Linked DNA regions of Callithrix jacchus. The protein of the gene in region 1 binds, or shares a complex with, the protein of each later gene. Links are inferred from orthologs where the notes say so. Each region holds a gene or a part of one and is shown on either strand. Other genes may lie near its edges. The genes, in order: CAPZB and CAPZA3.

What was found.
Region 2: CAPZB (region 1) and CAPZA3 share a complex: the UniProt entries of both Homo sapiens proteins name them as parts of the WASH complex. The link is inferred for Callithrix jacchus from reciprocal best matches to the Homo sapiens genes CAPZB and CAPZA3.

Annotation. Positions count from the first base shown.
Region 1 is NC_133508.1:56,245,878-56,249,268, reverse strand, and holds part of CAPZB (F-actin-capping protein subunit beta), read left to right. Parts: intron 1-459; coding exon 460-536; intron 537-1,869; coding exon 1,870-1,972; 3' UTR 1,973-1,982; intron 1,983-3,391. UniProt on the Homo sapiens protein: F-actin-capping proteins bind in a Ca(2+)-independent manner to the fast growing ends of actin filaments (barbed end) thereby blocking the exchange of subunits at these ends.
Region 2 is NC_133510.1:4,738,189-4,741,307, reverse strand, and holds CAPZA3 (F-actin-capping protein subunit alpha-3), read left to right. Parts: upstream 1-1,278; 5' UTR 1,279-1,421; coding exon 1,422-2,321; 3' UTR 2,322-2,361; downstream 2,362-3,119. Other genes in the region: PLCZ1 (1-phosphatidylinositol 4,5-bisphosphate phosphodiesterase zeta-1), read right to left, coding at 523-533. UniProt on the Homo sapiens protein: F-actin-capping proteins bind in a Ca(2+)-independent manner to the fast growing ends of actin filaments (barbed end) thereby blocking the exchange of subunits at these ends.

The DNA.
Region 1 (3,391 bases):
CTGGGGCACGCTATGTCTTGTCTGCCCTGATCGCCTGGGTGTGAACAGGCCCTGCACTGGGAAAGGAAGCAGGTCCCGGGAACGCAGTGGGCCTTGGCACAGCTTCAGTTTCGGCTGCCTCGGCCCTCCTGTCACCACGTTGTTTCGGAAGGAGGGGCGGTGCTCTCTGGTCTCACAGAATTGTTCACAAAATTAGTGGGGAGTCCGAGGGGTGATGATGTGGTTTAGACCAGCTCCCAGGCATGGGCAGAGTTGGCCGCCGGTACCTGGGTATTGGCTTCCTCCCTGCCTGAGGACGGGAAGGCGCCTGGAGCACAGATTGCAGGTGGAGCGCGCTCACCCATGTCCCAGAGCAGGCCTGTGCCGCCCTCCAGCGGCCACATTGGGGACTGCAGGGCTGGCAGGCCGAGGGAGGATGTGGGCCCGGGGTTCCTGACCATTTTGCCACATCCCTTCCAGGACATGGAAAATAAAATCAGAAGTACACTGAACGAGATCTACTTTGGAAAAACAAAGGATATTGTCAACGGTCTGAGGTAATGTACCAGAAGGCACAAGCTTTAGAAGCAGAAAGAGGGATTTGAACCCTGCCTCTGCCAGTTCCTAGCTGTGTGGCCTTGGGCCCGGGTTTCCTCGTTTGTAGCCTGCAGCACCCCTCTTCTAGGATTGTTATGCCAGTCTGGGGAAGTAAAGTCCTGGTGTGCCATCTGTACCCTCAGTAGCAGCTATCGGTCCCTACCTGCACCGTTGGTTTTCTGGGGCACATTCACTCTAACGGCCATTGGTGCCCTCGCCCCAGAGCCTCCTCAGGCCTGCAGTTTGTTAGTCCCCGTGCAAGAATGTGCCCAGCCCCTCCATCCTGGGCCTGGGGGAGCCTCGAGACCTCAGCCTGGGCCTTCTCAGGGGCCCCAGCCTCTCTGACGTCCTCTGCCAGTGCTCTGCTGGCAATGGCCAGTGTTCTGCACCGTCACACCCACCTGGTGCCCTTGGCTCTGCAGTGTCAGCCTGAACAAAGGCCGGGGCTCTCTGGACCCTCCAGGTCCATGGTGGACAGAGCCAGAGGCAGGCCTCTTGCATGAGGCCAGAGCCCAGTGGGGACAGTAAAGACGGCTGTGGAGTGAGCACTGGCCCTGGAGTCAGGAGGCCAGGATCTCCCCTAAGCTCTGTCATCCTGAGCTACGAAGCCTCTGGCACACCTCGAAGAGGCCCTTGTTTGATGGAGGAGGCGGGTCAGCTGAGGTGATGAATCTGGAGCACGCTCTGCAGTCGCGCAGCACCGTGTGAGTCCGGGCTGTGCTGTGCCCTTGGCGCCCAGCCCTCTCACCTATTGCCATGGCAGAGATCTCACAGCCCAGCCCGGAGGAAAGGCAGGATGCCGCTCTGGGGCGACCCTGGCTCATGGATTGGGGTGGGTGACAGCTTTCAGTCGCCTGCTCCACAGTTTTAAAACAGGCGGTGTCCTCCTTGGGCCAATGTCTTCCTGATCTCCTGCCCACCTCAGGGAGGCTTGGTTTCATGACCTGTGGCAGGTTCAGAGCCCCGTGGTCCCAGGTGTCAGGACGGCCACCTGCAGCCACTGCCCAGCCACACCAAACACACTTTCCCTCCTGGCCAACCTGCACAGTTCCCAGGCAGTGGCTGGGAAGTGAGGGAGACAAGCAGAAGAGCCTGCAGGGTGGTGGTAGCAAGCCCCTGAAAACCATGACCACTGCCCACGGCGATGCCACTCCACAGCCCGAAGCCGCCAGGGCACTCCCCTTCCGCCCCGTGGGTCTCCCTGAATTTCCTCCTCAGCTGTGGCCCCTGCATTCCCTGTGTTCTCGTCGTTCTCTTCCCTCCCGCCCCACTCATCTTGAACACTCTCTGTAGATCTGTTGATGCTATCCCTGACAACCAAAAGTTTAAGCAGTTGCAGAGGGAGCTCTCTCAAGTGCTGACCCAGCGCCAGATCTACATCCAGCCTGATAATTAGGCCGATCCAGGTACCCTGCCTGAGAGCCGCGAGACCCTCCCCACTAAACAGGACTCACCAACCCGCTGAGACCCTGCCGGTCTGGCTGCTGCTGCGCAGCCATTTAAACCACCACTAACCCCCACGTGTGCCCCCGGCCGGTGAGCAGCCGCATTCCTGTGGAGCCTCAGCCCCATGTGACACGGCACCAATCACGTGTGTGTTCTTTGCACTATGGGCGGAGGCTGGGTGTGGGGGAGACAGCTGATTTATTTGGCTTTTGCTTCTGAAGAAGCCCAGGCAGAGGGATGGATGCTGCCTCTCCAGCAGCAGCCACTTGTGTGCACTGGCCTGACTGTCCCCAGTGGGGGTCTGCCTGCACGCCACCCCCAATGCTTCAGAGGAGCCTCTGACGCTGGTGCAGGGGTCTCAAGCCAAATAAGACCCCTGCTCAGCACCGCATTGGCTGTCTGGGGCTAGCTGACTTGGAAGGGGTGACCTCACCCTCTGATCTCTAAGTTTCTGGGGTTGGAGGGCAGAGTCAGGGTTGGACTCCACCCTGGCCAGCCCCGACGCACTGCTGAAGCTGCCTGGATGCCCAGAGCTGATGCGGCCAGGACCAGCATAACCTTCTGCCCTAACGAGCTGCAGCTATTCCTTTAAACAGGTTACACTGATGGAAAGGAAAATAGCCTTGCTTGTTGGTAATGGCCAAGAACCATGACTTGAGCTTGTGACAGATCCAGATGCAGGGAAGGAGGCAGCATCCGTGGAGAGCAGGAGGGAACCTTGTTTGTAAAACGAAGGCATTTGGAACTCTGCCGGCTGGGGCTGCAGAGCCCAGGTCCAGGGGCTCTGCATTGAAGGCCCACCCCGGAAGGGGTGCAGTGGGCTTTCCAAGGTGGAGGTGGGGTCAGGCACTTAGAAAACCAGGTGAAGCTGCTTTTCCCAGGCCATGGGACTTAAGTGCACCAGTCTGGTCTGTGAGTACCAGCTTAAGGTCCAAGACTCTCTGGTCAGCCTCGTAATGGGGCCATCAGACATTTCCATCATGGCATGGAGAAAAAGACCCTTTTTAAAGTACACTGTGATGGTGCAGTTCCCTGGTCGCCCACTGGGGGCATCCTGGCATAGAAACCCTGGCAACCAGGTCTGCTCAGGACCGCTCCTCCCTCCCGCAGAGTCGAGCACTGTCTCTAAGCGCTGATTCAAGGTTGCTTGGCCATGACCTTCCCAAGCTCTGCCCCTTAAATGAGCCCCCTGCTCCTTCCACCCTCTACCATTTCACTTCTAACTTCCTGTGTCTAACTTGATTCTGGCTCTGGAACTTTCTCCTTTGTGGGGTCCGGCCAAGACCTAGTGTGCTTGGCTCTTCCTTCCCAGAAGAGCTGGTGACCACCCAGGTGCAGGGTCCCGTGCGCTGCTGCTTTACCCTCGCAT
Region 2 (3,119 bases), on another chromosome or scaffold:
CTGATAAAATTATTATTAATAGATTAGTCATATGCCCAGCTACACACACACTCAAGAAAGTGACATTTTAAGTACCATCCAAAAGCATCAAAAATACCATGCTGAGTGTATACTGGTATGAAAGAGAAAACAAAAAATTTACTTATCATAGACAGATAAGCTACAAAAACTAGGACACCTCCATACTAAGACTGAAATGACATAATGACAATTATCACTAAAATCATAAAAGGTATGGGTACAAATCATGCAAAACTAAGTTTCAGGATTGTTAGAGCAAATTTGCGAGATGTCGTTAAACTGAATCGTTATGACTTAATACAGCAAAGCTCATGTCCTTGTAAGAAAAAGATACCAGAATGTAGGTAAACTTAGAAAAGCTCAGAGCAGACATGGAACAAGCAGTTCGACTTCAATGAAGAGGATTTAAATTCAGGACTCTTCGAAAAGAATAACAGCATCAAGTACAGAGGATAACTAGGAGAAAGGAGAAGAGGGGCAGGAGGAACTTTCAATGGATATCTCGTTTCCATAGTTGTATGACCTGTAGAGCCGTTTCTCCTCGCTTAGAAGTCTCTCCCAATAGGTGCTGTCACGGGTTCCAAATACAATTAACTTTGTCCCTTTGCAGAAAATAAATTCTTGATACTCATCGGCTGTTACCACTTTTCTAGGGAGAAAGCAGAGAATACACAGTGGTCTGCTGCCTTTGTTCTTTGAAGCTAGCTCACACTTAGCCACAGAAACAGTATGCAAGATGTGGTACCTGCATTACCCTGCCCTGGAAACTTTTCAGCTTCTTCAGTTCTGACTGTCTCCACACCCACTGTTTGAAAACACAGCTTTCTCTGATGTCTGGCATTTTTCCATGAACTGCTACTGTATCTCATTTAATTTTACTATTTTATTTTAACCCCTCAAACCTTTCATCATAATGTGCTTCCAGTGCGTTTGGGCAGCTACTCTGAGAGGCTGAGTATAAATCAACACCACTGTGACTCCTGACGCTCGAAAGGGCTGTCACTCTGGAAACTGGGCTGCTGCTCTAGATCCCTGACAACATGTAACGCACACAGAGACGCACCATTCTGAAGAAGACTATTCAGGAGGCTCAGTTCTTAAAATCTTCAAAATAGGTACAGCGGGTTAGCTGGGCAGCACACTGTCAGGTGACTGTCATTTTTTTCTTTTGGTCTGAATGCCCATTGTGATATCATCAGAGGTTCCCCACTGCATAGAGAAAGATTCTTTATGACCTCACCAGGAGGCTCAGAGCTTGCCAGACTGCCTGCTTTCCTGGGGGGGCACAGTCATCTTCAGCTTGAATGTTAACACCTTGATGGGAAAAGTGTCTCATGGAATGTTTTCTTATCCTTTGAACACTCTTTATTTCAGAAGCTTTGCTTCTGTTGCAATGAATCATGGCACTTAGCGTGCTGAGCAGGAAGGACAAGGAAAAAGTCATTCGCAGACTGTTAATACAGGTACCTCCGGGGGAATTTGTAAATGCCTTTGATGATCTCTGTCTGCTTATCCGTGATGAAAAACTCATGCACCGTCAAGGTGAATGTGCAGGCCACCAACACTGCCAAAAATATTCTGTACCACTCAGCATCGACGGAAATCCAGTACTCTTGTCTCACCACAATGTAATGGGTGACTTCCGATTCTTTGACTACCAAAGCAAACTTTCTTTCAAATATAACCTGCTTCAAAATCAGCTGAAAGACATCCGAAGCCATGGTGTCATTCGGAATGAGACAGAATGCCTGAGAGTCGTCGTGCTGTGCGCCTTAAAACTGTATGTGAACGACCACTATCCGAAAGGAAACTGCAACGTGCTGAGAAAAACTGTCCAAAGTAAGGAGTACTTGATAGCTTGCATTGAAGACCACAACTACGAAACGGGAGAGTGCTGGAATGGACTTTGGAAATCCACATGGATTTTCCAAGTTAACCCATTCCTAACTCAAGTAACAGGAAGAATATATGTGCGAGCTCACTTCTTCAGGTGTGTCAACCTTCATATTGAAATATCCAAGGACCTGAAAGAAAGCTTGGAAATAGTTAACCAAGCTCAACTGGCTCTGAGTTTTGCAAGGCTTGTGGAAGAGCAAGAGAACAAATTTCAAGCTGCAGTCTTGGAAGAATTACGGGAGTTATCCAACGAAACCCTGAGAAGAATTCTACGAAGGGATCTTCCGGTGACCCGCACTCTTATTGACTGGCAGAGGATACTCTCTGACTTGAATCTGGTGATGTATCCTAAATTAGGATATGTCATTTATTCAAGAAGTGTGCTGTGCAACTGGATAATATAAAGAACTGCTCCTGGTAACGATCTCGATCTGACTCATTTATGATTCTGGGGAATAGTTATTTTCCTACTATTAAGCAATCTGTAGAGATGTTTCTCACTTAGCCAATGCACGTTTAAATAAGGAACGTGTTACAAGTGATTTTACTTGGGAAATATTTATATATAAGGCAAGAAAGTGTAAAGTGAAATGTGTTTCATAGTAGTGATCATCATAAAGACCAAGACATTTGTTAGAAACTAAAATAGTTTTACAGAATATGGGATTCCAGAAATAATATATGGGTGGCCAGGGCTAAGGCCGTGTGTGTGTGTGTGTGTGTGTGTGTGTGTGTGTGTGTGAAAGAGAGAGACTTCTGAGTTTGTTTTGAACTGAAAAGGTATACAAATGGATATCACTCCACCAATGATATTTTACATCACTCAGTTTAGTCCTGGACCATCCACAAGAGGATGAATTTCAATAACTGACGTTAGGTTTGGATTTTCCATGAAACCAACAGATACCAAAAATCTAGCTCAGATGAAGGACTATTAACACATTTGGCTACTCTTCCTTTCTACTTCCCTCCCCTCAAGAATTGGGGTTACTCAAAATCTCTGTCTTGTCTGATAACGAACATGGTCTTCCAAGACTAGACAAGCCTGACTTCCCGAACTTTTGCAGCTGAGCTTTTGGGAAGTCATCACTGGAAACACTCAGAAGTGCTTACTGGATAACATGGCTTGTGCTAAATATTTTGCAAAAAACGTTTTCATCACTAATTTGGTCCTAGTATTCTCTCCATTGTACATAAGACAA